Saccharomyces cerevisiae S288C: one gene and its partners. Changing the gene in region 3 together with the main gene of any one other region gives a genetic interaction. Each region holds a gene or a part of one and is shown on either strand. Other genes may lie near its edges.

Region 1 (8,232 bases), on a different chromosome or scaffold from region 3:
AAAGGATCGAAGTGTTTCTTTTCCAGCGAAGTTTCGGTCTCAAATAATAATACGTCAGGAAAAAGAAGGAAAAAAACATTGCTACATCAGCAGATCAAAGCATTTACTCAGAGTCGGTGGCTACATCCTCCTCCTCTTCTTGGGCTTTCTTGGCCTTCTTGGCCTTCTTAGCCTTCTTAGCCTTCTTCTTGTCCTTCTTGTGCTTCTTCTTTAGCTTTAACTTCTCCTTGATACTAGAGTCAGAATCAGATGACTTGAAAGAAGCTGGAGATGGCATCTTCTTTTCAGCAACTGGACCAACATGTTCAGCGGGTTCTTCGTCGAAGATTAAACCTAATCTTTCAATCCCCAAATAGTTAGCCAATGGCATGAAAAGAACTGGCAAGATAGATAGGATCAACAAATCAATAATACCATAGAAAATGGTAGCAGAATCTGGTTGCAAAACGTTACCACCATCTGTGATACCAAAACAGGTTGGGTAAGCAATCAGCCACAAAAACATGATGACACTCATGAAAGTAATGAAAACGTTAGAGACATCCTTACCTCTGGCCTTGACCAGGTTGAATGTAGTTGTCATCAAACTAATACAAACAACAATGGCAGCACCAATACCAATGGTGTAGTAACCCCATTTGTAAGTAGAGTGGACACAGGCAGCAATCAACCAGCAGACAGTAAATATTTCAGTCATACCAACATTGAAAGCAATTTGCCATAATGGAGTACCACCAAGTAGAGACATTTGAATAATTGGCCATGGGAAAGCCAAAAACCAGCCAACGTATCTAGCGTAAAAAATTTGTCTGTAACCTGGGTGCTCCTTTTGGGTAGAAGTTTGTACATGGTTGTACTTTGCTCTGACTGGGATCCAACCCAAGTTAGAAGCCATGGTGAAATAAGCAATTGACATGAACAAATTTGGAGCAATGGCCGTATAATATACGAATCTGTCCTTAACTGGTTTTCTAAACATTAGTGGGACTAAAATCACACCGAATAGTAGGTTAACACAAAAAACGGTGAAAAGCCAGTCTGAACCACGAGATGTAATGTGGAAATCAGCACCGGTTGGTGGATTAATTTTGATGGCTTCGTTACCACCTCTTTTCAATAGTTCAACATAATCAGACATTTTGATGCTTTTTTTAAAAAATAGTGTCACTTTAAGTTATCAGGAAAATTAGAAGATTTTTAAAATTAAATATTAATAATTAAAGAATTAGTGGTTAAACGTTATTAGATTGTTTGGAATTAAAAGAAAAAAATTCTAGATTGATTAAAAATAACCAGAATAAGCTATTAGTTTTGAGTAAAAAAGGGTTTTTAGAAAAAAAATTATGGTAAGTTCTTAGGACTTCTTGTCTATGTTAAAGTATCCAAAGATAAATAGATAGTTTTTTTCGGGTTGGAATATTACTGTTATTTGCTGACACAATCTTGACACTTGATTATATAATCGTAAATGAGAAAAGGTTAATAACAAATATCGAAGAAAACAAGAGAAGAAAAGGGCGGAAAACCATAACTAACACACTGTCTTACATGTAAACCGAATAAGTTCGGTTCTTTATATATCTTTTCGGTAAGCTTCCAGTAATTGAAAGGATCATGAATAAGCAACAACCCGATGAGGAATCATCCCGATCTAACATTGAAATTTTCTAGGGGTTTTACTAACTAATCTGATTGGAAAGCACAATTATCCAGTGAACTACTAAGATGACGAAATTATTCGTTTACACAGAAATAGTGAAAGGCATTTTTGCTTTTACAAGAGGCTATTTTTTTTTTTCTTCATGCTTCTTAAAGGGATTCATGCATTGGACCGGAGAAAAGTCCGCAGAACGACCACTCGAGGGTAAGAAAAAAACAGCTCAGATTTCCTATTTGAGGCAAATTATGCGGAAATTGAAGAATCGAAAATCACGGAAGTGGTACCAAAATCGGTAGGTTGTTTTCAATTTACCCTTTTTTTCCATTCCCTCATTTAGAACCCATAGCGAGGTCGAAATATCCCTTAGCCATTGGTGTGATGTCTATAGTTATTTCCCTCAGTCAACCCAAAGCAAGATTTACATTGTGTTAACGTATGCCGTGATATGAACAAACACACCGGCCTACATAGCTAAGTTAATCAAAGAAGGTGTAGATAAACTAGGTTACATAACTGCCTATTGGCAAGCTTTCTTGCTATCTTAACAGCAAAGCTCTTAAGTCGTGATCTTCTCTTCTGATTCTCTTCCGATGGCATATAGATTTGAAGACGACAAGGAAAGCTAAGCAACTTCCTAGTTTTCGTCTAAAAAAACCGAAGGTTTTTCCGGTGATTTTCGGAAACATGCAGAAGAGTCCTTAGAAATCTTAGGTAAATTCACTCGGCATGTCTGCTAAAGATCGGTCTAGGCCATGCGCGTAAAACGGGAAAGGGTTCGCTCAATGGCAGATGCTGCCATACGAGGACACAACCAAGATGAGGCCTCCCAAAGCGGTACTCGCGTTAAGAAAGAAGGGCTTTGGAGGCAACCGGGTAGGGTGTCTTCTTTGTAAAGTTTGTCTAATGTTGGAGAATGGTTGCCACCCGGGGAAGAAAACTGCTCAGGGCGGATAACAGGAAAATAACATGTTGCGTGCACTTGTTTCCGTTGAAGGGAGATGGAAAGACTACTTAAAACAAAGTAAAGAAAAACATCTCAAAAATATTGAGAGAAAATGTGGTCCAGGAACCAAAGATGGTATACTATTTTGCTTTAGTTTATTTTTGCCTTCTTGTTTAATTATTACTCAATTGGTATATGTAATTGAGTAAATATACAAATTGTAGCTTGTGTTTTTGTTTTTCACAAATGACATCGGTATGTATTTTTCAACATATCTTCGCCATTTCTGTGAGCTATTCCGAACACCGCTTGAAACGATTTGTATTTTGCACAATCGTCATCGAAGTTCAAAAGTCAATTGCTTTTCCTAATAGAGTTAAAAGTCGGTCTACGAAAGTAAAATGTATACTCAGTAAGAGCGGTCTTTGTCTACAGTTCTCCAAAGTGGTAGTTATATCGGGAATGGGTAAATGCATTACACAACAACAAGGAGTTCTAAAAGAGTAACTGTGAACGCCAAAGGAAAAGATATAAAAAAAGTATGTCCCTTTTTAATACCTTTTTCGTTAAGCCGCTACAGCTACCTCTTGACTAACTGAGAAGCTGAATGGATAAGGAACAAAATCGTACGTAAATTTTCTCATCCATTTTACTTGGTCAACAGATTCTATAATTGTAAAGCTGTAGCTTGCACTTGATTTTGTTCCTAGAAATGCATTCAAAATTATTTAATGGTCGCCAAGAACAGCTAGGTGAAAGTTTACCCGGTCGGGCTTTAAGGGGAAGCCAATGCTTATTCAAAGCATATGGACATATATGAAGATGTCCTGTAAGATTCTTAGATTAAGTTTATATGCATTGAGCAACTAGACACTTTTCGTAAAATGAGTAGTGTTGGCGATTTTGAAGAAATTATTTTGCATGATTTAAAACCTTATTATCACGTTCCCGGTGCCATACATAGTGAAGGAATAACCTTCGTTAAGGAAACCGGTACACTGTTGTGGGTTGATATTTTTAAAGGAGAGGTTCATAAAGTCGAAGACATAGAACAGCCTGAATCCAGTCATTCTTTTTTTTCCATTAGTAGAGCCAATTATGGCAAGAATGCGTCAATTGAGTACCCTCCCAATCCAGATGAATTAAAAGAATCCGTGGGCTGTATATTTCCAATACTTGATGGGGCTTCACAAAATGAAATCAAACAAGTATTATTTGGTAGTAAATTTGGCATAGGAAAATTGGATTTTAGCAAAAGTGAATGGGAATATGTCATTTTGTATTCCGAATGTCCTGAATTGAGTACAGACAGAGCATATAAGTTGAGATCTAATGATGGGAACGTTTCGCCAGATGGAAAATATATTTATGTGGGGCTAATGAGCGATTTTCCATTTGATTTGGAACCTATTGGGTGTTTGCTTCGTGTTGACCTATTAGCTCACAAGATAGAGCTTGTTTGGAATTGCTTGTTAATTCCTAACGCGATCCACTGGGATGAAAGTGATCAAAAGACGATGTACGTGACTGATTCTTTAAACTTCACTATTTGGAAATGTCCTGGTGGCGACTTGCTAAAACGTGACGAGTTAATTGACGTGAAGAACTCCAACAATCAATCTTTTGAGTCTCCTGAACCAGATGGAAGTGCAATTTGGTTTAGCAAAGACGGAAAACATTCTGGGTTTCTGTTTATCACTGTCTGGTCCACCAGTAAGGTTCAAATGTTCGATTTAACTAACGGAAAATTGCTGAAGGAGTTCATTTTGCCGGAGCAGACACCAAGAGTTTCATGTTGTTGTTTTGTTGGTAAAGATCTCTTCGTGACCACTGCCAATGCAGAAATCAACGATGCTGTAAGAACCAATACTGACAAGAATGGTGGCTGCATCTACAAAATTCCAAACGTGCTAGACGGAAATGTTCCTCTGGAATCTACAAAGCGACAACCTCTCCACTAGGTGTATATACATATGTTTATATATATGCAGCATACGTATCCAGCGCATGTAACTAGCGTCATATGACACCGCTTATGGGCAAATTGAAGCGAAGCTCCCAAACTTGTCCTTATACATCGAATAATAGCCGTTCCATTTTGGTTGCCTAGTTATAAGGAGGGAACACCTAAGGGGCGGACAATCAAAAATACATAAAAGAGCGGAAAAGAAAAGAAATAAAAAGAAACCACATTTTATATCACACTTTTCTCGAGAAACATCGAACATCAAGACCTCCAGCATACTACTCACTATTATAAGCACATACTACGCCACATAGATAATGCCGAAAGTCGCTATTTTGATTTATTCAGTGGACGATATAATTGCCACATTAGCAGAAAATGAAAAAAAAGGTATAGAGATAGCTGGTGGTGAGGCTGAGATTTTCCAAGTGCCAGACGTCAGCTATAAAACTGAATATGCGACAGAAGAGGGAAAAGAGGCAGCCAAAGTCGCCAAAACTAATGCAGATTTTTCCTATAAAATCCTAACAAGAGAAACGTTGGTTGAGTACGATTACTACTTATTCGGAATACCTACTAAGTTTGGAAACTTCCCCGCGGAGTGGAAAAGCTTTTGGGACTCGAATACTGGTGGGCTTTGGGCAAAGGGTTCTCTCCATGGCAAAATTGCCGGTTTGTTTGTTTCAGGCGCAATAAGCGGCAAGGGTGATACAGAAATGTGTATCATGAACGCAATGAGTACTCTGGTCCATCATGGTGTCATTTATGTCCCATTGGGGTATAAGAACGCATACAAGGAATTGACCGACGTTGAAGATGTGAACGGGTCTTGCGCCTGGGGCGCAGGATGTGTTTCTGGAATCGACGGTGGCAGACCTCCCAGTTTATCCGAGCTAAGAGTTCACCAACTTCAAGGGAAGGCCTTTTACGACCGTATCAAAGATTTGTAAAACCGTATATATCTTTACATAAGTACGATATGGTATAACTGTAACATTGAAGGACTGAAGGACTGAAGGACTGAAGGACTATAGTCAAGGGCCAATGGGGAAGGTCCCTTCCAGGCCATTTGCCCGATAGTTTGTCCTTCTCTTGCTTTTCCGACGGCCCGATTGCATGTGGCGGGGCAGCACTGGATAAAAAAACGTGGGGGGAGTGATTAAATTTATACGCTTATTGTGTCAACACGGAAACCTTATAGTTATCATTACTAACATCGCAACAAGCTGCTTTTTTACTCGTTTTTAGCCACACCATACCCCCTTTAATTAACTAATAATGCATAAAATAGTTATTGCTTCTTGAGTTGCAGCTTCTTCCTGGACGTACTGTTATATATGGCATGTCTTCGCATGTCCGTCAAATTTAGCGTTGTCTCGAAACTTAGGCTGTCGTTCTTGCTGTCTGTCTTCTGATAAAATAATATATTGGAATAAGAAAAAAAAAATAGGAACAAGAAAGTGTGTGAGAATGACTTTGAGTAATTGCGACTCTTTGGATAACTTATTCCAGGACCCTCCAGAGGAAGAAGAAAGTAGTAAATTCGTTGAGGCGGTCAGAACTTTGATGAATAGAAACGATATGGGATATCCTCCCGCCGCTGCAAATGGTACGTATTGCTTAAAAAAAATCAAGTCTTTGAATGCCAAACAGTGGAAAATAAACAAGAAAAGAATGTGCATGTTGCCAGCAGTAAAGAAGAAAAATTTCGACTTTCACGAGCAAAGAAGTTTAATCTTGAATTTAAATTTATGGAAATTCATCAAGTTTATCAATTGTAGTAGTAAAAACAATTACAATAAAAATAATAAGCATGTGAGAAGCTCGAACAACACTGTAAAAAATGAAAATGTTTTACCGTTACAAAAACACAAGAAAGTGGACAATGATCAAAGATTGGAGAACCTTTTTTGGAGAAGCTGGTTTAAGGCACGCAAAAGGAGAGATATAATGGGCAAGCCACGAGAGAGGCATATCAAATTTAACGATAACGTTGAACAGTGTATTATAACTGATGAGCATTTCATACAAAGGCTTCCTTCTACACGGTTGAATTCGACTGATGAACAGCGCCCTTGTTCAAAGTCTGAACTAGATCCCTGTATTGGCAACGCAGCAAGTAAGCGAAGTTTCTATGATTATAACAGCGTTTACGTCGCGAGTGACGCAATTATTACGACTGCCGCTGCCACTGCCATTATCAGTAGTAATAGTGGAGACTATCAGCGTGGGCACGATGTTCGCGATGTTCCAAGAAATGTTTTGTTACAGGCAGGAGAAACAGATTTCAGTAGTGTGCTTCGGGTTGACTCCGATCTCAAGTTATCCAACATAAGTCATCATTCCCCCGTAAAACCTTCGTCAACTTCAAGTCATTCGACCTTCATTTTCGAGTCGGAAACTGACACTGATACTGATACTGACGCTGAAACAGAAAATGACATTGACGCTTACATAGACACCAGTATACCCAACCTGCTCCTATAAATTTTACGTAAACTTTCAATACATTGAAATTGTGTCTCATTTTCTTCTAGAAGCTCCTCGGAAAAATTGATCACGTGATATATAGCAACAACTTTGTTACCCGTCTTTCAAATTGGGCCCATGCCGGGTGGCAAACCAAAGGCGGCCAAGGGACCTACCCTCACAAAGGACAACGACAAACAAATGGCAGCTTTCTTGACCACACAAGATAAAACAACAAAACTCAGGCTGTTATTACCCTGCTGTGGACCCAACCTAAAGTAAATAAATAAACATCATCACAAGCAAGGTTATCTACACACTATCGTTATTAGTTTGAACTCACGTGTTGCTGCTGAATTAGAATATTTATAGCTCAATCAATATGCCTTCAGGTCATAACGATAAAAACGCAAATCAAGAGTCTGTGGAAGAGGCTGTTTTGAAATATGTCGGTGTAGGTCTAGATCACCAGAACCATGACCCTCAATTGCATACGAAGGATCTGGAAAACAAACACTCGAAAAAGCAGAATATTGTGGAAAGTAGTAGTGATGTTGATGTTAATAACAATGATGACAGTAATAGAAACGAGGATAATAATGATGATTCTGAAAATATTAGCGCATTGAATGCGAACGAATCATCTTCGAATGTGGATCATGCCAACTCCAATGAACAACATAACGCAGTTATGGATTGGTATTTAAGGCAAACAGCGCATAATCAACAAGACGACGAAGATGACGAAAACAATAATAACACTGACAACGGCAATGACAGTAATAATCACTTTTCTCAATCTGACATAGTCGTGGATGACGACGACGACAAGAATAAGAAAGATGCGGGTGTTGGTGTGGACGATGATCATCAATCTATGGCGATGGCCGCCGTCGCTGCTGCTTACACTCTATCGAAAAATAACAATAATAATAACAGTATTGCGAACGATAGCAATTCGCGTAAAAGACAGCATGATAACGGAAATAATCATGAGAATTCACAGAAAAAGCGGAAAAACAATAATGATGACGATGACAGACAAATTGGAAACGTAGATCCGGAATTAACCACCTTGGGTGATGCAGATGACAACGATACTAATAATGATGTGATTGATCGTGATCAACTGGTCCATAAGGCCATTATCGACGCTGATTCGATTACCCAACATCCTGATTTCCAGCAATACTT
Region 2 (8,217 bases), on a different chromosome or scaffold from region 3:
CAAAATTGCTTATCAACTTGCTACATCTGTGAAGGAGTTCTCCTTATTCTATGTCGATTTGATTATATTGCAAGGTATTGGTATGTTCCCGTTTAAGTTGTTATTAGTTGGTAGTTTGATCGGCTTTCCTCTAGTGAAAATCAAGGCTAAGACACCTAGGCAACGGAATGAACTTTACAATCCACCGATATTTAACTTTGGACTACAATTACCACAGCCAATTCTGATTTTGATTATAACGTTGATCTACAGTGTAATGAGCACGAAAATTTTGACTTCAGGGCTGGCGTACTTTATTATTGGGTTTTACGTCTATAAATATCAATTGATTTTTGCCACAGATCATTTGCCCCATTCTACAGGAAAAGTATGGCCATTAATTTTTAGAAGAATCATCGTTGGATTGCTATTGTTTCAATTAACAATGACAGGAACACTGGCAGGATTCGAAGGAGGATGGGTTTTGTCATCTTGCCTTTTCCCGCTTCCAGTAGTGACATTATGTTTCCTATATGATTTCGAGAAGAACTATTTGCCGTTGTCAAAATATATCGCATTGAGTTCAATTCGCGAGTACGAAAGAGACAATTCTACGGTGAATTCTGCCAATGAGGAAGAGTCGTATGCATACCCTTACGCTGTGAGTGAATTAGAGGGTCCGATGTTGGATTGAAATCCCAAGGTGCTATTTCTATATTTATATATTTTGTTGTGAAAATGCCAAAATAAGATTTTTGATACAAGTAATACTGGATATTTTTTTATTTGCTTATAACAATAAATAAGTTCCTGACTTCTGTAGTAGTAGTATAAACTCCTGATGTATTAAATTCTTAATAACTGAAAAGTTAAACTTTGCCACGAAAACTATAAGTATTGGCTTAACCATGAAATATCGTAATAAAGACACACTTATAAAAATCTTTATGATATTCCAATAGGAAAGATTAGTTACAATCTTCAACGATTCAATAATATAGAGATTAGCTACCCACTTAATGATACTCATCGAAATTAGAGTATCATAAGGCCATATCAACATCAATATCGGAAAAATTTTGGCACCGTACGATAATAAGATCGTATATGATATGACATCCTTTGAAGAAACGGAATAGTGCTTCCAATGCAACTTTTTCAGTATGAAATACTGGGTAAAGGTGTGGAATAAAGAAACGTCAAGAATACAATAACTTGCAAAGTAAAGATATTGTATTGGTGGGCTCCAGGTAAACACTTTACTTGTAATGGTATTGCGCATGATTGCCGAGTCCCATTTGAAGCTCTCTGGTAATTTTTTTGAAAGCATGATGAGCTTACCATCATTATTGTTACGGTTCAAATAGTAGATGTATTTACTCTCCTCAGTAACCCAAGTTAAATAAATCTCGAATGATAATAGTAGAAGCCAAAGGCGATTTAACCGGTCATATTTACAAAACCAGTTCTTTACGTTAAATAACAAAGCTTGCGTATAGTCACGCAAACACTGGCAATCATTTAGCGCTTTTCTTTTCGGATATTTTGAGAGATGCAATTCCAAAGCATTGAATACCAAGTGTCTATATGCACCTGCTTTTAATAGAAGCAAATCAATGAATAACAGGACATTATCTATCTCAACATATTTGTCTACTGTCTCTTGGCAATATGGACAATCTGTCAGCTGAATGTGGTCATTCGAGTACACTGTATAAAGGGAATCTACGGGCCGCATGCACGTTATGCAAATCATCGTTTATCACAGCTAATATCTACTTTTTGATGCGCTTCATCCGTTCACTGACGCACCAAACCTTCCTTCTATGCAATGACAAGAATTTCTCAGCTTGATTTATGCCATTGATGTTTCTGAATCATCAATTGTTCACATAGGGCTATTCAATTTGGCCCGCTGTCCCTAAACTGAAAAAATACTAAGAAAAATTTTGCAAAAAATCTAAAATGATGAGGTGAAAGATCAAAAAAGAAAGATCAATAATTAAGAGGTTGGCAAGTCATCCTGATCGTGAAAAAAACTTAACAAGTACAAATAGAGTAATCAGCATTGGAAAATGTCTCGCGTTGGTGTCATGGTATTAGGACCTGCAGGTGCGGGGAAAAGCACATTTTGTAATTCCATTATATCACATATGCAAACTGTAGGACGAAGAGCTCATATTGTAAATTTAGACCCTGCCGCAGAAGCTACCAAGTATGAATTTACTATTGACATTAGAGATTTAATTTCCTTAGATGATGTCATGGAAGAAATGGATTTGGGCCCCAATGGTGCGCTAATATATTGCTTCGAATATCTTTTGAAAAATCTAGACTGGCTTGACGAAGAGATCGGGGATTTCAACGATGAATATTTAATCTTTGACTGTCCCGGTCAAATTGAACTCTACACGCATATCCCTGTCTTACCGAACATAGTGCGCCATTTAACTCAACAACTGAATTTCAACCTTTGCGCCACATATCTTTTGGAAGCGCCATTTGTGATAGATAGCTCAAAATTTTTTAGCGGTGCACTATCTGCTATGTCTGCGATGATTCTATTGGAACTACCCCATATCAATGTGTTGAGCAAACTAGACTTGATAAAAGGCGACATCAATAAGAAAAAACTGAAAAGATTTTTGAATCCCGATGCAATGTTATTAATGGAAACGGAAGGAATGAATCAAGCATCCAACCCTAAATTTCTAAGACTGAACCAGTGCATAGCCAACCTCGTCGATGATTTCGGTATGGTTCAATTTTTACCTTTGGAATCTAATAATCCTGACAGTATAGAAACCATATTATCGTATGTCGATGATATAACACAATGGGCAGAAGGACAAGAACAGAAAGAGCCTAACGACCAAATAGATGTCGAAGAATAGTTATAGAGAAAATTATGTACGCTTGATTCATATAAAAAGAGGTAAAAAAAAAAAATAGCTTCTCATAATAACCAATTCGGACTCGGGAAAGTACAAGTTCAAGTTTTTTATTGGTTTCTATATGTATAAGATAAAAATACCTAGATCTATTTAATTCTCTGTCTTGGGCCACCTGGTGATTTCTTATTCCTGGCTGTTAGGATTTCAACACCATGTTCGGTAACCAACAGTGTATGTTCAAATTGAGCACTCAGTTTACCGTCTTGGGTGGTAGAAGTCCAGTCATCAGGCCAGGTCATATCCTTCCAAGTACCTTCATTAATCATAGGTTCGATGGTGAAAACCATACCTGGTTTCATAACACCAGGTGTTCTATTCTTGGCGTAGTGGGGAATATTTGGGGAACAATGGAAAAATTCACCAACACCATGTCCACAATAAGTTCTTACTACACTGCACTTATTTTCGGTAGCGTGTTTTTCAATATGATCACCTAACTCTTGGAAGGTGGTACCTGGCTTACACATTTTAATGGCTAGTTTCAAACATTCTCTTGAGGTCTCAGTAGTATTAAGAGCTTCCTTAGAAATGTTTTCGCCGACATAATATGTCTCATTCAAGTCTGCATGATAACCTTGGTAGTATAAGGAAACATCTAAATTGACAATATCACCTTCCTTCAAGACAGTTTTATCGGGCACACCGTGACAAATAACTTCATTGACAGAGGTACAAAGCGATTTAGGAAAGTTGTAATAATTAAGAGGGGAAGGGTAGGCACCTCTCTTAATTGTTTCATTGTGGACGATTTCATCTAATTCATCTGTAGTGATGCCTGGTCTGACATGGGCAGCGGCAATATCAAGAACTTCTCTACCCAACATACATGCCTTTCTAATCTTCTTAATTTGATCTTTCTTGTATATAGGGATGTTGTTAAGTCTATCATTTCTTTGTTCACTGACTGGTAGCCCATTAGCGGCCCAGTCCGGTTTAGGAATATCTTCAGGGACATACCTTCTTGGGGTAAGTGGATATGAAGCCTTCACTTTACCAGAATATTTGAATTTTGGGAAAGGATCATAAGCACCTTCCAAGCCGTCCTTAGCATTGTGCAAAGCTTTGTGAGCTTTGTAGTTGTTTTCATAACAGCTTGTGTCGCAGAAAATGGAAACGATGCCTTGTTTTAGACAAACAGGGCATTTCATTTGGGACGAAGTTTCTCTACCACATTGCAAACCGGAGCAATATATCTTGGTAGGATGAGAAGCCTGATCGGAGGTAGTAACTGTTGTAGTTGCAGTGCTCATTATACAATTTTTTTGCTTATTTTTTTCTTGCTAGGAATATACACAATAGCGTTCTTGGGATGAATAATAATAATATCAGTTTTTCTTCTTTATATGAAAAATGAAAAAAAAAAAAAATAAGTAAAAAATTTTCGCTTTCTTTTCGGGGAGCAGCCAAATAAAGATTGCTGCTAGTTTAAATGAGATGGACCAAAAGCCATGGGCAGCAGTTCTCCCATTGTCATGACTTTAGAACGAGAACCTGTGGAATTAAGCATGACTATTGGAAAGTCCTTGACCACAAATTCATTGATAAACTGCCTGCAAACGCCGCAAGGGGAAACACACTGGTCCTCAGAATCGCCACAAATGACCATGCATTTCCATCCTGAGCGATGGCCTGCCATTAGAACTTGTATCATAGCAGATCGTTCTGCACATATACAATTACTGTAGCTTGCATTCTCGACATTAGCACCAGTGAAGATAACATCGTTATTTGTTAATATGGAACAACCGACACGGAAGTGAGAATAGGGGCTATAGGAGAGTTCACACGCCTTCAGTGCCGCCCTTTTTAAGGCTTCCAGTTGTCTGTCTTCTATGCCACCTACTTTCATTACCTTATTTCTCTGCTTGAGATTCTCTGTTTGGTTTTCCTAGTTTCTTGTACATAAACAGTTTGTGTTTATTTTGTCAAACTACTCGGAAATTGGCGAGCAGCGCCTTATCAAGATTACAGTTTGCAAATATAAAAATGTAAAGGAAAGAAAGCGTAAGGTAACAAGAAGAGAAACGGGGAAGATAATGGCCTTGGTCTCTAGAAGGTCGACAAGATCGGAAAGCACCTCAATAACAAAGGAAGAGCATACAGGAGAAGGTTCATTGACGAAGTTGTTCTTCCGATGGCTTGTTACCTTGGAGGGTGATCAGGATATAAACGATGGAAAAGGTTATATATCGTTACCGAATGTCTCGAATTATATATTCTTCCTTGGTGGCAGGTTCAGGACAGTAAAGGGCGCCAAACCGTTGTGGTTAGGTGTTCTCCTTGCTATTGTATGTCCCATGGTTCTCTTCTCCATATTTGAGGCTCACAAATTGTGGCATACCCAAAATGGTTATAAAGTGCTGGTCATTTTCTTCTATTATTTTTGGGTCATAACGCTAGCATCCTTTATCAGAACAGCCACTAGTGATCCTGGCGTTCTTCCGAGAAATATTCATTTAAGTCAACTAAGAAATAATTATCAGATCCCGCAAGAATATTACAACTTGATAACACTACCAACACATTCTTCAATTTCAAAAGACATTACTATCAAGTATTGTCCATCATGTAGGATATGGAGACCACCTCGGTCTTCTCACTGTTCCACATGTAACGTCTGCGTAATGGTTCATGACCACCATTGCATATGGGTCAATAATTGCATAGGAAAAAGGAACTACCGGTTCTTTTTAATATTCCTGTTAGGTGCAATACTTTCGTCCGTCATATTATTAACTAATTGTGCCATCCATATTGCACGGGAATCAGGGGGGCCTCGCGATTGTCCCGTTGCAATATTGTTACTTTGCTATGCAGGGCTAACCTTATGGTATCCGGCAATACTGTTTACTTATCACATATTTATGGCAGGTAATCAGCAAACAACAAGGGAATTTTTGAAAGGTATTGGATCGAAAAAAAACCCTGTATTCCATCGTGTGGTCAAGGAGGAAAACATATATAATAAGGGGTCCTTTTTGAAAAATATGGGTCACTTGATGTTAGAACCAAGGGGCCCAAGCTTTGTAAGTGCCAGAAAGCCACATGAAGCTGGAGATTGGAGATTTATGGATTTATCGCCAGCACACAGCTTTGAAAAAATACAGAAAATATAAGGAAGTATAGATATAAAGAACTCAGCGACACAGTAGTACGTAAAATATAAAAAGGTTACTGAAAGGAGTGAATTCCGCCATAGTATAGGTTGAGTATACGCAAATAAACGTTGGAAATTGGCTAGAATGTTAAAAAAAACATTCATTAAAAGGTTCTTTTCGTATAACTTTTACAACAAATAAGTGGTTGTTTGGCCGAGCGGTCTAAGGCGCCTGATTCAAGAAAATATCTTGACTGCAGTTAACTGTAGGAATACTCAGGTATCGTAAGATGCAAGAGTTCGAATCTCTTAGCAACCATTATTTTTGCCTTCCGAAAATTTTGAAGCTACATATTAGCACTCTTCTTCAGATGTCAGACAACGTGCAGCATCTTTTTTTCCTACCATTGAATATATATATAGTAATTACGGCAACCGTTTATATAAAAATTCAAAAGATTAAATATTTTAATATATTAGTGTCTGGTTTAAAAGTCATACTTCTCTAATCACTACCGTGAAAAAAGCAGTTCCATAAGTGTTCATTACTGACTTCTTGGTCTACCACGCTTATCTCAAACTTCGCATCATCGCTTTCCTCATTATCCGTTTCATCTTGTGCTTCGTCGTATTTATCGCCTTTTTTTGACTTCTCCTTTCTTTTGCGCTCTTCGAGTATACATTTATATCTGAGGATGTTTTCTTCAACGGTATTTCTGATCATGAAATTCCACACAAAAGTTTCTTCATCTTGTCCTATACGATTATTCCTTCCCATAGCTTGTAATTCATCACTATTATTAAGGATAGGATCTAGTAGGAAAATATGTTTTGCATTTATCAAATTCAGGCCGGCACCTAAAGTTTTCACATTCAAAAGTAGGCAAGTGACGGAAGGCTGGCGTTTGAAGTTATTTATAGTTTCGCCAACATTGGCTGTATTAGATAGACATGCCAAGTGTTCAATGTGATACAACTTTAATACCTTACCAATGACCTTTAAATATTCTGTCTTTTGAGAGTATAGAATAACTTGTGGCGGATCAGCGTTTTCCTGCTCACTTTTTAGCCTCAGGTAAGATATTAACTTGATGACGAAATCAATCTTAGCACCAAAACTTTCCTTTATGTGAATTTGATGGACTTCATTAATTTGATGGAATTGCTCGTATTTATTTCCGAATAATTTTTCTACTTCACTCATATTGGATATAATCGAGTTTTCATTTGAATTATCTTGAGACGAATCGGCGCCCTCTCTTCGTGGCTCTTGAATTTCTTTTTCCCTCTTCTCCGTTGAGTTCTTGAACTTAAAGTTATAGACTTCCGATATACTACAGAAACCTTTGCATATAGGGCATTTACTATGGGCTCGTAGCCACGTAAGGATACAACTCTTGCAAAAATAATGTCCACACTTAATGATAGCACCTATTTCAACTTCTCCCAAACAGATAGAGCAGCTCAATATTTGATTATCGTTTAATGTGTCTTTCAATCTGGACAAATTTTTTAAATATATCAGCCGTGATTCAATGTTATTGATTTTTGCATCTAGTGTACCGCCCAATGACTTATTGATAGTTCTTATTAGATGGCTGAGTTGTGGAGCACTCAAAGAGTGCAAGGACACCAATGAATCGGAAATCCTCTGTAATTGACTATAATATTCCGTCTTGGCATTATAAATCGATCCCAGGATTTTCAAAGATTCTCTTACCTGTTTATTGTACTTAAACAGGCTTTTACTTTCAACTTCGTACTGAAGTAAGTAGTCCTCAAAATTTTGAATGGTAGATTCACTTTCATTGCTTGAGGATATCCGTCTTACTATCCTGCTGTTCTTCAGTTCATCAAAAACAGTTCGTAGAGGTGTTCCTGAAATCAAGCGCAAGCTGTTCAATAACTGCTTTTGATATTTTGAAATTATTGAACCTTCCGGTACCAAATGCTTCGGAATTTTAACTTCTGATTCTGAAGTTAAAATATTGTCCCTATTCTGTAAAATTATCTCCAAGCAACCAAGAAGACTGAATATCTTATCTTGACTGTCAATCGATGTTGAATATTCTTCATTACCGATAATTTTATTAGTGCTATCATCGTCCTCTGTCCTGTGGACAGGTTCATAGATAATAATGAGTAACTCATCCAATAACTCGTTGAAGTTTTTAGTTTGTTCATTCA
Region 3 (8,357 bases):
GTTTGCAATTTGTATTAAGTTTGTTTCAAGCTCCGAACTAGGAAAAATCAACAATCTGCTGCAAGGAAGATTGATATACACAGATAATTCCGTTGCGACAAATGTATTAGAATCCAAATTTCCATTCTTGAAATCAACATGTGTTAAAGACGCACTAAAATTATTTTTGCCACAATGTATTGCAAATGGACTTGAATCCATTGACGCTGAAACAAGGGTAGAAACGGCCATTAAACTTTCAATATGCGAGTTTCAGGCATCTGGCTTGGGCGAAATACCAGAAAATTGCATGGTTGACGACCTAGGATCAATGATGGATTGTATGTTTGAACTAGAATCATCTTCACAGTGGTGGACAACTTATAGTGGAAATTATCAGCGACTATCGAGTATTTGTTATGAAAATCTTCTTCCTTTTGAAAAAGAACAGATACTGAAACTTTTTCTAAATATCACTGAACTTTATGATTCATTTGGGGATGATGTCGATACTAAGTTAAATCATCTGATGTTTCAAATGGAGCAAGATTCTCAAAATTTTTTGGACGATCTGGCCAGGATGTTCCGCAACTATGACAATGAACTGCGAAATGCGACCGAAAGCAATCGAATAATCTTAGAAAACGACCTCTCATTTTTTAGAAATAAAGTGAATGATGTACTCTATGAAACTTCCGAACAACTAGAGGTCCAAATCATAGAGAAGAACAGTCAACTAATGAATGAAGTTGATACCGTCCATCATATTATGAGCGATCTAGCCGATGAGCTTGCTAAAAATGACATAAAATCTAAGATAAATGACTTGAAGGACGACAGCCTGAATAATTTACAGGACCTAGTGGAAATGTCCAACGACGTAAAAGAATATTACTCTAGAAATAACAAGTTAGTTAATACCGAGTTGGAAAACTTCTCGATGGGTTTAAAAAAACAGTTAGGAGGCATGTCAAAGGATCTTTCTGAATCACAAATGGAAGCTATAGAGCTCTTGCAAGGGTTCAATTCCATCCTTCATGATTCATTGTTACCATCCATGACGGATGAGATAGTACCTGAGATGACGAACTTCAAAAATACCTTACTACAAGAATGGACAGCTATAACATCTACACTAAATGGAGATTTTGCTTTATGGAATGAGGAGATTTTTTCAACTTTTAATGATATTTCAGAGAAACTGAATGGCACAAAAAAAAAATTAGACGACATTGAAATCAGAGTCTCACTTGTCCATAAAAATGTCATGACAATGATGAGGGTATTGGATTTTATGTGGAAAACTAGTAAAATGATTATAAGATGTGGGTACCTTGCAGTCAAGAATAAATACTACTGGTTACTGTGCTCCGTTGTGTGGATTTGGTCAAAATACCGTACGTCTCGAGTAAACGTCAAAATGATTCCTATTAAACGCTATTACCAATGGGCAGCTCTTCTACTTTCAATTTATCTAGGAGCTAAGACTGGCTCATTGATTGATTTTTAACATTACCGATGTAACAATATATGAAAGCCTATATATACATAGATGTATAGGTATATAGCCGCATTCAAAGTCTAGCAAAATAAATATTCTTTAAAAATTCAAGGACACCGGATCATGGTGGCCATAATACGGGCAAGTGAACCTAGAGAAGGTGTCCTACGTCACTATCCAAGTTAATTTGCTTAAGAGAGTTCGAGTGCAGCACCTACAGCTTTATCATTGAAGACGAAGCAAAAAGATCTTGAGATTCTATATCATGGGCACAGGTAGTATTCATTAGGTAGTAGTAACGTATTAAACAAGGCCATACTATATTTATAACTCATGTTCAAATACAACCGCTCACTCTGTAGCAGCGCTTTGATAGCAAAGTCTCAGATTCGTTTTTATAGATTGAAGCGGGCGCCATTGAATTATGCCTCCCATATACCTGAAGTTCTTAATAAGACCATCATAGGGCCAGACGAACCAGAAAAATGTCTCATTTTGAAAGGAAAAACATCAGAGGAAATCGAAAATAATCTTCTCAGTAATAAGAAATTTCAGGAGATCAATCCTCTTGATACTATCCAGGAAACGTTCATTCAATATCTGAAATTTTGTAATGAAACTAACTTTAAAAGAAGTAACAAGAATTTAAACAGATTAAAAAAAACCTTAGAAAGCAAGGACTCTAATAGCACCGTAAAAATTAATGCAGTTTTCAATTATTTGCTCGAAGAGTGTGATTTAGAAATCAAAAGATTGAACACGACCGGCCAAACCCAGGTATACAATGAAGAGAAAGGAAATGAAGATGACTTAGAGCAATCCATAATGAACGATATTTTCCGATCAGCACAAGAACAATTTGAAGATCAAGAGGGCCATATACCGTTAAGGAGTACATCATTTTTACTGGAGATTTTGAAAAGTTTTAATGAACGGTTTAATGGCATAATCAAACCGAAAGAGTCAATAACAGAAATGGTCACATTCAGCCAACTTGCTCAAGCTTTTGAAGTTGTTAAATTGATACCAGTGCAAGAAATGAAGGAGAAAGGGATTTACTTGGTCGGAAATTTACTTTATGGCACAGGGAAAGTTCGTTTAGATCCTATAAATGAGTCATTCTATATTGAATCCCTACTAGTTTTTGGAAACTATAAGGCTGCATACAGTTTATTTATTACCAATAAAGACAAAGTAAACGAGCGCTGGTGGAATGAACTAGGATTAATGATCACATTAAGGTCTAACCACTTGAGAAACTTCAGGAAACTTTTAGCCGAGACAGATGCAAAGTACTCAACAAAGTATTCTTATTTGAGCCCAAGAGTTACCAAATTGAGCATACGAAAATATTTGTCGATTGGCAATGTTACTGAAGCTAATATACTGACTGATCGATTTATTAAGTTAGTGGAAGAAGTTGGAATAATCAGAATGAAAGATGAGCAGGAGGAACTTCCCACGGGAGTTAAAAATTTTCAGAATGAGAAACATGCAACTGAGTTCTTAAATGAACTAGAAATACCATCGGATCATGATTATATCAGCATTGTTGATTTCCATCTTTATAAGAGAAATATTCCCATGGCGGCTCAACTTATCAGCAAGTACATGGAAATACCTGGAACGACACAAGAAGATGCCGCATTTCTACTTGTTAAAACCAAGCTAAATATGTTGAAAGATTTTGAAAAGCTACGAAACATTTTTGCTCAAAATAAAGATTATGTAGTGCCTGAGAATAATGTGAAAATGTTGCAAGAGGCATTTGAGAGCGTTATTACTAAGTATAACACTAATTCTCCAATATACAATGAATTGCTGTTTGAGAATGTTTCGGCCTTAACAAAAAGTATTGTATTAACTGATTTTCTGGAAGAGTTCATTACTAAACAGGCTTCTGGACAGTGGATGGAATTAAACAGTGTGTCACGTTCCAGAAAGTTTAATGGCTTGTTGAACATACTTCTCGGTACAGGTGAAGAAGAAAAAGCATATAATATCTTAAAAAAACTAGAAGAAGCCTCAAAGAAATCAAAAACAGATCCAGATTTACTCTATAATCAGTTTTATTCGGAAGTTAATGCATATCATTACGCTAAATTTGTTGAATTTTATAGTCTTCAAATTCAAAATATGAAGGCACAAAATACGCCCTCATTTAGAAAAAAGGAATTTAAGCAGAAAGTGAAGTCACTTTTAAAAAGAATGCAGGAGTCAGAGGTTATCCCAAATGCTGTTTTTTTGAGAGAAATACTCAATTTTTATGATAGCATGTATGACTTTAATTCAAGTTTTGAGATCATCAATCCGCTACTTGAATCCAAACAACAGGTGAGCTCTGAGTCTTCATTATCCACCTCAAACCCTTGCCGATTTTACAACCGTCGCATCATAACAAAACCGCTGTACCACAAGATTTGGTCTGTGTATTGCCATTATTATCATGTTTTACAAAATAATTCTAGGATTTTATCGAAAAAGTCGTCCATTGTAAAGAAATTAATAAAAAGGCAGATAAAGATTCACCCAACTTGTCACCCAAGAGTATTGTTCCAAATGACGGCAGAAAATGGTGAAATTTTGCCAGACAAAACTTTTTCTAAATTAATTGTGTCCACGTTCATGAAAAGCGGGGATTTAGAAGCAATACCTGCCATATTAACGTTTCTAACGAAAAAATTTGACTTGAATATTGATTACGATTTGAGTATGTATATTCTAAAGGGTTTGAAAAGACAATATTTACGAGATATTAGTAACATCAGTAAAGATGCTTGTGAGTACAAGTTACGGAAGGCGGAGCTAATGAATAATGAGTCAATCTTAAAAAACATTCCACAGGGTACAAATCAAGAGAATACAATATCCCATTTGATCAGGGAGATTTTGATCTTTATAAAATGGAAGGAAAAAAGTGATTGTTCTACTTTCTTGATGGTAGAAGATGCTTTTAAAGAATTAGGAACAGAGTTTACTTTACTCGAAGAATTAATAGAAGATGTAAATAAGTTAAAGATAAAAGCCTAAAAAAACGGATGCATTTTATATAATTTTAGCTATACGTGTACATATTTGTAATAAAGTTAAAAGAGGAGACTGTTTAGCTTTGTATTTATTTTTTACTTAATTTCATCCATTTAGGTACTCTATTTAAAGTCTTTTTGATACTTGTAGCGTTATCAGAAGGGCCCTGTGGATTGGATTTATTTATCGTATTAACTGATGGGGTTGTCCTCGTTTCGTGTGTGATTTTTTGTGCGTCTTCCAAAAGATGAGCCTTTATTAATGGGCCATTAGAATTTGAATTTGTTTCAAAAAGCAGCATTGTTTTAGAGCCAAATTCCAGGTCATCCAGTAGCTTCTTATCGTCTTTAGCCAAGGGTTTGAAAGGATGAGATTGGTTTAACGTAAAAGGCATGTTCTCATCGATCAGGAACTGCGACACGACGTTATAAACTGTACGCATGTCTTCATTGGGTTTGAATGCTATTTGAATATGGCTTCTATCGGGGAACTTGACTCTCAGCAAACACTCAGATATAGCCTTATTTTTCTTTGGCAAGTTGTTGGCTGATTGCTCTCTAAGTCTCTTTGTCAAAATAGGACCACCCAAAGTACCAGCCTTCGATGATAACATTTTTTGGTATTTCTTGGCTTGTTCTACTGTCAATTCATAATCTTCTTCATCCTCGATTTGATCCTTGATAACTGCTAATGGCTCATCCGAGGGCAAAAACACAGAAGGTTTATGTAGTTCGTGAGGTGGTAGTGAAGCAACCGTTTCCGGGTTCGTCATCGTAGGGGGAGTTTGTTTTGGGTGAATAGCGCTATTAGCGCTAATGCCCTCAGAATGAGATGTATTATTAAAAATCAATCTAACTGACGAAGGCTCCTGAATCCCTAAATTTTCGAGAGTCAAATTCTCATCCTTAATTGTTTTGAACTCTATTATCTTGGAAAAGACCTGGATCTTAAAATCATCTCCCGCAGCGCCGCTCATCTGTCGCAAGATAGGGGCAATTGGTTGGTCAGATGGCATTTCTTTAACCACGGAATCTCTTCCTGGGATTTGAAACCGTATTTTGATCGTATTGAATGGAATATCTTCGCGGTTGGTCTTATTCGCCACCGGAAAATTACTACTTTTAGATAATTCTAAGTTGACACCCGTTGGTAAGTTTAGAAGCCTCCATGGCAAATCTAATGGCACCGGTTTATCCAAATGTATCAATGACCAGTCGTTTGACGAGGTGTGCAGTTGAAAGAATTGTATGGATTGGTGTAACACATCGTTTAGTGTTGAATTCAACGAAACTTTACATTTGAAAAGTTGGAAGTTATACTTCACGGTAACCATAGGCATTGTATTGTGCGCTTATTAGTCTGCCTTGCTATTCTTCGCAGTACGTAGATTTATCTTAGTTTTTGCATTTTTTGGTTTTCTTTTTTTTTTGCCACACATAGTACAATAAAAGAGAACTTGAATCTTTGAAGAAACGTCTAAATTAACATCGAAGATAGAAGACAGGGAAACATCTAGGATTGCAAGAAATAGTGCTGAAATTTTGTAATAAAGTTGCAAGAAATAGCATCTAGCGTTTTATAAGGCGTACATCTTTCTTGGCAAGAGTTCCAAGAGAAAAGAGGAGCAAAACAGCGGTTGAGGCGCCCGCTATCTTGAATATTATACAGTTTCTTTAAAAACGCTTGTACAACACTGCATAAACATGGACAAATTATTGAAATTGTTTCAAGATATTTCCCATATCATATTCCAATAGCGTTACTCTCTCATCGCTTATTCTGGAATCATTATTTTAATAAAGATAACTCACACGATATACGTGTACTGAGCTGACCTTTATACCTACCCTTACCTGCTTATTCCTGATAAAAATGTTCGTGCAACTAATTGTTTGATTTCTCTTGCGGCCCGGTTATTCCGGAGTTGATACTTTTTTTCTTCTGTCTTAATTACGTTTTTTTCCTCTAGACTTTTTTGATCTGGTACAATTGAAAATGTATAAATCAACTGGACCCTAAAAATAAAAAAAAAAAACGCCCATTAGAAAAGAGGATATATTGAACAAAAGATGTTGAAAGAGCCCTCAGTTCGCTTGCGGGAGGCTATTATTGAAGGCAATTTACTTATAGTGAAAAGATTATTGCGACGGAATCCGGATTTGCTAACCAACATAGACTCAGAGAACGGATGGAGTTCATTACATTACGCCTCATACCATGGAAGATACCTTATATGCGTGTATTTAATTCAGCTGGGGCACGACAAGCATGAACTAATAAAAACCTTTAAAGGAAACACCTGTGTGCATTTAGCATTAATGAAAGGGCACGAGCAAACCTTACATTTACTTTTGCAACAATTTCCGCGATTTATCAACCATCGCGGAGAGAATGGTAGAGCCCCCATCCATATAGCATGTATGAACGATTACTACCAATGTCTGAGTCTGTTGATAGGAGTTGGTGCTGATTTATGGGTAATGGACACTAATGGCGACACGCCGCTGCATGTATGCCTGGAGTATGGCAGTATAAGTTGTATGAAGATGCTTCTCAATGAAGGTGAGGTGTCCTTGGATGATAATGTCAGGGACAAGGGAAATTGGAAGCCAATAGATGTAGCACAAACGTTTGAAGTAGGTAATATATATTCAAAAGTGTTAAAAGAGGTGAAAAAGAAGGGGCCACCGTTGGGTGCAGGCAAAAAACCAAGTTCATTCAGAACTCCTATACTAAATGCGAAGGCCACTTTCGAGGACGGGCCTTCCCCAGTTTTAAGCATGAATTCGCCATATTCGCTCTATTCCAATAATAGTCCGTTGCCGGTATTACCAAGAAGGATATCAACGCATACAACAAGCGGTAACGGTGGGAATCGGAGGAGTTCTATCACAAATCCAGTATTCAACCCACGAAAACCAACCTTGTCTACGGACAGTTTTTCGTCAAGCTCAAATTCCAGCTCGAGACTAAGAGTGAACTCCATCAACGTCAAGACTCCAGTAGGTGTGTCGCCCAAGAAAGAGCTTGTATCTGAATCAGTACGACACAGTGCAACACCAACAAGTCCGCACAACAACATCGCGTTGATTAATAGATACTTGTTGCCTAACAAGAGCAATGACAACGTGAGAGGAGACTCACAGACAGCTACAATCAACGATGACGGTGGCGGCGGCAATGGCGGTGATGCCACTATAGGAATGGGACTAAGAAAGGACCCGGACGATGAGAACGAGAACAAGTACAAGATTAAGGTAAACAATGGCGAGCCGAGGAGACGAGTGTCACTTCTGAACATACCCATCTCAAAATTAAGAAATAGCAATAACACGCGTGCAGAAGATTGAGAAGACTACTACGTATTTTTTTTTATATGCATCCTTTTTTCCACATATGTATGCGCGGTGCGCGCGCGCCATTAAAAGATTTTTTTCTTAGCTCTTTTTCTTTTTTCTTTTTCTTTCCACTGAGATGCGTTCTTCGGTATATAGTGAGAACACTTACAACTGTATACGAACATCGAAGGAGCACCTAACAGAAAGAAGGAGGGTCGCCATGGCGCCAATGTTCCAACATTTCTTAAACTTATGCGTGGAAAAATTTCCTGAATCCATCGAGCACAAGGATACAGATGGAAACGGTAACTTCACCACCGCTATTTTAGAAAGGGAGATTATCTACATCCCCGAAGATGACACTGACAGTATTGACAGCGTTGACAGCCTCAAGTGTATAAACTACAAGCTGCACAAATCTCGCGGCGACCAAGTGCTGGACGCCTGTGTGCAATTGATAGACAAGCACCTGGGCGCCAAGTATCGCCGGGCCTCGCGCATTATGTACGGCA
Region 4 (8,708 bases), on a different chromosome or scaffold from region 3:
TTTACCACTACACTACGTGTTTTTGATTGATGTTTCATTGTTAGCTAATGAGAACGGAAGTTCTTTAGCCATGGTGGAAGGTGTCAGGTCATGTATTGAGTATATTTCAGATTTCCAGCCAAATTGTGAGGTTGCTATAATCGTTTATGATAATAAGTTGCGGTTCTTTAATTTGAGACCAGATTTAGATAATGCACAAGAGTACATTGTAAGTGAATTGGACGATGTTTTCTTACCATTTTATAATGGATTATTTGTTAAACCCGGAAACTCGATGAAAATCATTAATGACACATTGATAAAAATTAGTGGTTACATCTCCACCGACAAGTATAGTCACGTACCCCAAGTCTGTTATGGTTCTGCTTTACAAGCCGCAAAATTAGCGTTAGACACAGTAACTGGCGGGCAAGGTGGTAAGATTATTTGTTCTTTGAACAGCTTGCCAACGATCGGCAACGGGAATTTATCGCTAAAAAGGGACAATGCACACATTGCTCATGTTAAATGCGACAATGGGTTCTATAAGAAATTAGCATCGGATTTTTTGAAATCCTACATTTCTTTAGATTTATATGTGACCAATGCGGGATTCATTGATATGGCCACTGTGGGCCATCCTGTAGAGATGACTTCCGGTATTTTGAAATATTATCCCCACTTTCAACAAGAGACGGATGCCTTCACTTTGGTTAACGACATGGTTACAAATGTCTCCAATATTGTTGGTTATCAAGCTTTATTGAAAGTTCGCTGTTCTACTGGGCTATCTGTGGAACAGTACTACTGCGATTCATCTGATAATACGGATCATGATCCAATTATTCCTGTATTGACTAGAGATACCACCTTAGATGTCTTACTAAAATATGACAGTAAAATAAAAACAGGAACCGATGTTCATTTCCAAACTGCATTGTTATATACTGATATTGATGGTGTCAGAAAAGTTCGTTCTATTAACACGTCAGGTGCGGTATCTAATAACATTCGTGAAATTTTCAAGTTTATAAATCAAAATCCTGTCATGAGAATAATGATCAAAGATGTCATAAAGACGCTCGGTGATTGTGACTTTGTAAAGATCAGAAGATTAATTGATGACAAGATGGTCGAAATCTTGACCCAATATAGAGGATTGGTTAGCAGTAACTCATCAACGCAATTGATACTGCCGGATTCTATAAAGACATTGCCTGCTTACATGTTAGCATTTGAAAAAAGCGAATTAATGAAGCCAAACGCTCAAAGTACCCGTGGTAATGAACGAATTTATGATTTATTGAAGTACGATTCATTGAACTCAGCACAACTTTGCTACAAACTTTATCCACAAATTGTGCCATTCCATGTATTATTAGAGGAAACTGATCTGACCTTTTACGATGCTAATGATAAATTATTACAGATCAACTCCAGCTCTATTAATAATCTATCTGTAAGAGCCTCACACTCTAATTTCATTAACGGCGGTTGCTACTTGATTTTCCAAGGTGATACTATCTATCTATGGTTTAATGAGAACACCAATAGAATGCTCTTGCAAGACCTGCTGTCAGTGGATGAATCCTTGCCCGTCAGCCAAATTTCGTTATTTAGTGGAACATTGCCTGAGACGGGCACTAGTATTAATCAAAAGGCTTCAAACGTCATTAAAAACTGGCAACAAGTAGTCAACAAGTCATCATTGCCGTTAGTCTTGTTGAGGCCTAATGTTGATCAATATTACAGTAATGTGATGAGTCAATTGCTTTGCGAGGACAAGACCGTCAACAGAATCGAATCATATGACAATTACTTGGTGATAATGCATAAAAAAATTCAAGAAAAACTTCAAAAAGACGATTTCATTAAAGTCTCGACTGCCGCAACTCACGAAAATATCCATCAAAAATTTGTGCAGTTTTGAGCCTCGCTCAAAGGAGACCCTGTGCTTACACGCAGAAAACTGGAAATAACGACATATTGTTGTGGCTGTGGCCGATGCGGTTCGTATATCCATTACTAAATAATTAAATACGTAAATGAATGAATAGACTGATATGATTGTGATTTTTACGTGTTGGCTATATTGTGCCTTTCTGCATTCACCTGCGCCTCCTCATGTAGAAAGGCGTTGATCAAGGGGAATACAGGAGAAGTATTTTTGGGTTCGTGTTTTGGTGGGGTTCCAGCCACAGAAGGGCTCTCGGCAGCGAAACGCTGACTATGCTGAGAATACTGCCAAAAAAAAAAAAAAGGCAGTATGTGAAACGCAGGCAGAGAAAGGGTGAAATTCTACATAGGATGAGAGAATCTCATAATTACAGGGATAAAACTGTAGCTTTGCTTCCTCTTTTATCTTTATTTTTTCTTGACTGTCTTCTGGTAAATCTTGCAAAATTACTACTATTTTGTATTTCAGAAGCGTTTTTTCCAAAGAATACTATATCAAACAGACGCAAATGAATCAAACAGGAAGGACCATAGGCGGTCCTCAAAATGGCGTGAATACAGTGATTAACCCCTTCAGAGTTTCTCCTTCAGAGGACAGAGTATCAAGCAGGGATGAAACGCCCAGGAATTATAAGTATGTGTAGCTCCACTCCCAAAATTGCACTACAGTGTAACTAACAGTCATGACTACTTCAGAATACTAACTTAACTCTTTTTCTCCTTTCAAAATCGATTGAGATAATCCATAATTATTGCAGTAACCCATTTTTAAATGAAGATGACACTAGGAGGGCCCATAACAGTAGCGTTTCCAATTCTAGACAAGAAAGACTCCCATCATATGAAGAAGCTGCGGGGACACCGAAACAGCAAGCTCCATACCCAAAAGAAAAGAAACGCAGTAGTGGTTCAAATAGTCACCAACACAACCACCACCACCATCGTCGTACATCACACGGACATAGGGACAAAGATAAGCAGAAGAGCAAAAGCAGAACCAAGGTTAAGCCCCCTAAAAATGTAGACACTATTGACAAGATGGATGTTACAGGATTATTTGGCGGATCTTTCCATCATGACGGCCCCTTTGATGCATGCACTCCACAGAGAAATAAGAATAATAAAGTGGCGCCTGTACTGGCCTTCCCAGCAGATGGTCCAAATAATACAGTAGGCGGCCGCACAAGTAAGAAGTCTACCTTAGATGAGGTGTTTGGTAGGGAAACAGTAGACGACGATTCTGAGACGCTGAACCAACTACAAGATAGAGCATATTTATTCAATAAGGCCAATTCCAGTACTACGACTTTGGATGCGATTAAACCGAATTCAAAAAATATTACCCAGTTCGATTCCAAAATGAAAACTGAACTAGTCCATGGGCCCATTACGATGGGTCTAGGCTCAACGACGTTCCTGGATGGCGCACCAGCGTCTTCCGCTGCCATAGAGCAAGATGTTATCAACCACGCACAAGAATCTCGTAGGAAAAACAGCATAGCAAGAAAAAAGTCTCTCCCCTCAAGAAGACATCTACAAGTGAACAACAACAATTTAAAGCTAGTGAAAACACATAGTGGACACTTGGAGCAAAAGGACGTAGACGATAATAGAACTTCTGTTCCGGTCACTGCCACCCAAGGAAGCGGTCACGAAGATGTTGTTAAAAAGGAAAACACCGGCAACAAGCTATTAAGGAGGGTGAAAAGCTTGAAAACTAGTAAAAAGCACTGATCAATGCTTCTTTCTTGCGTTCTTTTTGTTGCGCCCATATATTATTTTATTTATTACATTCATATAGCAATATTTACCTTATTTTATTGGTTACTTTTCTATACGCAAAATCACTACACTATGTTATGTTAAGGTCTCCGATACGGGAATATACCAATCAATACTTATCACTTCGGATTTTTTATGGGTCTTATCCCCACTGTTCCATTTTCTTGTTTAAGGCATCCCGGAGGATAAACTAAAAAGGTGGCCCATCCCACCCGAAATGAAAGTAATCATCTGCTAGCAAAAAGTAAAGAAATGAGAGCATGCTGTGATGTACTGGTGGACGAAATTGTGACCCATACCCACCGAAGAAACATCCGCATGACGTGTTACTGTTACTTCCCGGATTAAGGGATGCATTCTAACTCTGTGCGCCCTTTTCTCTGCAGTTGATCCGCATTCCCCGTGGCTGTGCACATTAGGGGACAGTAAGTAATTCACTTTCTGATCCCGCACTCATAGCGATGGAATAATATACCGGATTTCACACCTTGTTATTGAGTGAAGTACTGCTTGGTGAAATGATATCTTTATGTTCAATATTAATGGTCGTGTGGATGAATATATGGGCATGGGTTAATTAGTTTTAGGGGCACGGAGTAAACAAGAAAGGAGGGCCAGAATCATTAGTAGAGTACCTCAAGTTTGGTTTCTTTTTGATTTCACGTATAAAAGAGTCTCTCTCTTTTCTTTTCATGCTAGTCGAACGGTTCTCCCTCTAAGAATAAGAAACTATCAAAAGAAAGAGAAAAGTCGATTGAATAATTTTTCTATATATAATATACGCAAACAAGATTCGCTTTCACTTTGCAATTTTACTTCATAGCTTTGTTAAAACCAGCAAAAAATATTATTTTTCTAGAAAAAAGAATATATTAGAGGTAAAGAAAGAATGTCGGAACTTGAAAACGCTCATCAAGGCCCCTTGGAAGGGTCTGCTACTGTGAGCACAAATTCTAACTCATACAACGAGAAGTCAGGAAACTCGACTGCTCCTGGTACCGCCGGTTACAACGATAATTTGGCACAAGCTAAACCCGTCTCAAGTTACATTTCCCATGAAGGCCCTCCCAAAGACGAACTGGAAGAGCTTCAGAAGGAGGTTGACAAACAACTAGAGAAGAAATCGAAGTCGGATTTACTATTTGTATCCGTCTGCTGTTTGATGGTTGCTTTTGGTGGGTTCGTGTTTGGGTGGGATACTGGTACTATATCTGGTTTTGTCAGGCAAACAGACTTCATTAGGCGATTTGGCAGCACCCGTGCAAACGGGACTACCTATCTTTCCGATGTCAGAACCGGTTTGATGGTTTCTATTTTCAACATCGGCTGCGCTATCGGAGGTATAGTTTTGTCAAAGCTCGGTGATATGTATGGACGTAAGATTGGTCTGATGACTGTTGTCGTCATTTACTCAATTGGGATCATCATCCAAATCGCCTCCATTGACAAATGGTATCAATATTTCATTGGAAGAATCATCTCAGGACTGGGCGTTGGTGGTATTACAGTTTTGGCGCCTATGCTAATTTCTGAAGTGTCGCCTAAGCAGTTGCGTGGTACTCTGGTTTCATGTTACCAATTAATGATCACTTTCGGTATCTTTTTGGGATATTGTACTAATTTTGGTACCAAGAATTACTCAAACTCTGTCCAATGGAGGGTACCATTAGGCTTATGCTTTGCATGGTCTATTTTTATGATTGTTGGTATGACGTTCGTTCCTGAATCCCCACGTTATCTGGTAGAAGTGGGAAAAATTGAAGAGGCCAAGCGGTCCTTAGCAAGAGCTAACAAAACCACTGAAGACTCTCCTTTAGTAACTTTAGAAATGGAGAACTATCAGTCTTCTATTGAAGCTGAGAGATTGGCGGGCTCTGCTTCTTGGGGGGAATTGGTTACTGGTAAGCCCCAGATGTTCAGACGTACACTAATGGGTATGATGATTCAATCTTTACAACAGCTGACAGGTGACAATTACTTCTTTTACTATGGTACTACAATTTTCCAGGCTGTTGGTTTGGAAGATTCATTTGAAACTGCTATTGTTTTGGGTGTTGTTAATTTTGTTTCGACTTTTTTCTCGCTATATACCGTCGATCGTTTTGGTCGTCGTAATTGTTTGTTATGGGGCTGTGTAGGTATGATTTGTTGCTATGTCGTCTATGCCTCTGTTGGTGTTACCAGATTATGGCCAAACGGTCAAGATCAACCATCTTCAAAGGGTGCTGGTAACTGTATGATTGTTTTCGCATGTTTCTACATTTTCTGTTTCGCTACCACTTGGGCCCCCGTTGCCTATGTCCTTATCTCTGAGTCGTATCCCTTAAGAGTACGTGGTAAAGCAATGTCGATTGCAAGTGCCTGTAACTGGATTTGGGGGTTCTTGATCAGTTTTTTCACTCCATTTATTACTTCAGCAATCAATTTCTATTATGGCTATGTCTTTATGGGTTGTATGGTGTTCGCATACTTTTATGTGTTCTTCTTTGTTCCAGAGACAAAGGGCTTAACATTAGAAGAAGTCAACGAAATGTATGAAGAAAATGTGCTACCTTGGAAGTCTACCAAATGGATCCCACCATCTAGGAGAACAACAGATTATGACCTAGACGCTACTAGAAATGATCCGAGACCATTTTATAAAAGGATGTTCACTAAAGAAAAATAATCTCTTGTAGTGTAGGATCAACTATTTTCGCATACTTGCAATGTTCAGCATTGCACCATTTCAAATTTTAATATTAATATTAATCGTTTTCGTTCATATGTTCATTCATAGTTTACAAATAATGCAATCATATGCAGAGATATTTTGTCCGTGGTTAATAGGGCTGCCTGTTATTCCTTTAATTCAACTAAATTACGTATGTCTAATAATATCAAAATCATCATGACGTTTTTGTTTTTTTTCTTTATTTTAAGTAGGATCAAACCAGGGGAGAAAGGGTTGCTACGCCTAACAACAAGAACTTGTATATCGTTTCTTGTTACTTATACTTTTCTGCCCACTTCTCTCTTACAACTGCTCGAGCTCATCCTTGGTAATAAAACAGTGAGGACGGTTACTCGAGGTTTCAACAGGGGAAAATAAATTTATATGATGAATCAAGAGCCCCGTTCTTTTACCGTATTATCCTTCATACTACATACTAGGGAAAGAACTGAAAACTCCGCTACCTGCTGTAACAGCGCATAATAAAAAGCAAGAATATAGACAGTTACTGTTGTTTACGTTCTTTGATGACATCATTCTCATCAGACATACAGAAACACATCCTTTTTGTCTACCCCGTATTTATTCCAACTTCAAAGTATAGGTACCGTCCGGTTATACTCTCATATACTTTGTGGCAGTTTGCTTCTTTAAACCTTGTTAACCCAGAATATTTTCAGTGCAAAAAGCTTCCGATCCTCAAATACAGTGAGAGAAAAAGCAAACTTGTCTTCATTATTTTTCTGTTTGGCCCTGTCACGGTTCTTTTTATGGCCTTCTCGAAGGATATCCGTAGTCAATTATATTCACGTAGTTGCCAAAAGTAATTTTTGGAAAACTATTATTCCTCCGAGAAAACCTCACACAGAAATCCTTGCAGGTCTCATCTGGAATATAATTCCCCCCTCCTGAAGCAAATTTTTCCTTTGAGCCGGAATTTTTGATATTCCGAGTTCTTTTTTTCCATTCGCGGAGGTTATTCCATTCCTAAACGAGTGGCCACAATGAAACTTCAATTCATATCGACCGACTATTTTTCTCCGAACCAAAAAAATAGCAGGGCGAGATTGGAGCTGCGGAAAAAAGAGGAAAAAATTTTTTCGTAGTTTTCTTGTGCAAATTAGGGTGTAAGGTTTCTAGGGCTTATTGGTTCAAGCAGAAGAGACAACAATTGTAGGTCCTAAATTCAAGGCGGATGTAAGGAGTATTGGTTTCGAAAGTTTTTCCGAAGCGGCATGGCAGGGACTACTTGCGCATGCGCTCGGATTATCTTCATTTTTGCTTGCAAAAACGTAGAATCATGGTAAATTACATGAAGAATTCTCTTTTTTTTTTTTTTTTTTTTTTTTTTACCTCTAAAGAGTGTTGACCAACTGAAAAAACCCTTCTTCAAGAGAGTTAAACTAAGACTAACCATCATAACTTCCAAGGAATTAATCGATATCTTGCACTCCTGATTTTTCTTCAAAGAGACAGCGCAAAGGATTATGACACTGTTGCATTGAGTCAAAAGTTTTTCCGAAGTGACCCAGTGCTCTTTTTTTTTTTCCGTGAAGGACTGACAAATATGCGCACAAGATCCAATACGTAATGGAAATTCGGAAAAACTAGGAAGAAATGCTGCAGGGCATTGCCGTGCCGATCTTTTGTCTTTCAGATATATGAGAAAAAGAATATTCATCAAGTGCTGATAGAAGAATACCACTCATATGACGTGGGCAGAAGACAGCAAACGTAAACATGAGCTGCTGCGACATTTGATGGCTTTTATCCGACAAGCCAGGAAACTCCACCATTATCTAATGTAGCAAAATATTTCTTAACACCCGAAGTTGCGTGTCCCCCTCACGTTTTTAATCATTTGAATTAGTATATTGAAATTATATATAAAGGCAACAATGTCCCCATAATCAATTCCATCTGGGGTCTCATGTTCTTTCCCCACCTTAAAATCTATAAAGATATCATAATCGTCAACTAGTTGATATACGTAAAATCATGAATTCAACTCCCGATCTAATATCTCCTCAGAAATCCAATTCATCCAACTCATATGAATTGGAATCTGGTCGTTCAAAGGCCATGAATACTCCAGAAGGTAAAAATGAAAGTTTTCACGACAACTTAAGTGAAAGTCAAGTGCAACCCGCCGTTGCCCCTCCAAACACCGGAAAAGGTGTCTACGTAACGGTTTCTATCTGTTGTGTTATGGTTGCTTTCGGTGGTTTCATATTTGGATGGGATACTGGTACCATTTCTGGTTTTGTTGCTCAAACTG

Evidence for each region.
Region 1: mutations in AVO2 (region 3) and YBR053C together harm fitness more than expected from each alone (negative genetic interaction), as found in Saccharomyces cerevisiae (2 studies listed by BioGRID).
Region 2: mutations in AVO2 (region 3) and ERF2 together harm fitness more than expected from each alone (negative genetic interaction), as found in Saccharomyces cerevisiae (2 studies listed by BioGRID).
Region 4: mutations in AVO2 (region 3) and HXT5 together harm fitness more than expected from each alone (negative genetic interaction), as found in Saccharomyces cerevisiae (2 studies listed by BioGRID).

What each region holds. Positions count from the first base shown.
Region 1 is NC_001134.8:336,007-344,238, reverse strand, and holds YBR053C (regucalcin), read left to right. Parts: upstream 1-3,487; coding exon 3,488-4,564; downstream 4,565-8,232. Other genes in the region: YRO2 (Yro2p), read right to left, coding at 104-1,138; RFS1 (flavodoxin-like fold family protein), read left to right, coding at 4,887-5,519; protein phosphatase regulator REG2, read left to right, coding at 6,040-7,056; DNA-binding protein REB1, read left to right, coding at 7,421-8,232.
Region 2 is NC_001144.5:622,149-630,365, forward strand, and holds ERF2 (palmitoyltransferase ERF2), read left to right. Parts: upstream 1-4,969; coding exon 4,970-6,049; downstream 6,050-8,217. Other genes in the region: CSC1 (Csc1p), read left to right, coding at 1-673; sterol homeostasis protein ARV1, read right to left, coding at 770-1,735; putative signal sequence-binding GTPase GPN3, read left to right, coding at 2,055-2,873; methionine aminopeptidase MAP1, read right to left, coding at 3,020-4,183; CDD1 (cytidine deaminase), read right to left, coding at 4,354-4,782; E3 ubiquitin-protein ligase IRC20, read right to left, coding at 6,536-8,217. UniProt on the Saccharomyces cerevisiae protein: The ERF2-SHR5 complex is a palmitoyltransferase specific for Ras proteins. Palmitoylates RAS2, which is required for its proper plasma membrane localization.
Region 3 is NC_001145.3:399,728-408,084, forward strand, and holds AVO2 (Avo2p), read left to right. Parts: upstream 1-6,576; coding exon 6,577-7,857; downstream 7,858-8,357. Other genes in the region: KAR5 (Kar5p), read left to right, coding at 1-1,489; SOV1 (Sov1p), read left to right, coding at 1,814-4,510; UBX4 (Ubx4p), read right to left, coding at 4,596-5,846; NAT4 (N-terminal L-serine N(alpha)-acetyltransferase NatD), read left to right, coding at 7,982-8,357. UniProt on the Saccharomyces cerevisiae protein: Component of TORC2, which regulates cell cycle-dependent polarization of the actin-cytoskeleton and cell wall integrity.
Region 4 is NC_001140.6:292,346-301,053, reverse strand, and holds HXT5 (hexose transporter HXT5), read left to right. Parts: upstream 1-4,606; coding exon 4,607-6,385; downstream 6,386-8,708. Other genes in the region: SFB3 (Sfb3p), read left to right, coding at 1-1,909; PAL2 (Pal2p), read left to right, coding at 2,445-2,569, 2,694-3,669; hexose transporter HXT1, read left to right, coding at 8,429-8,708.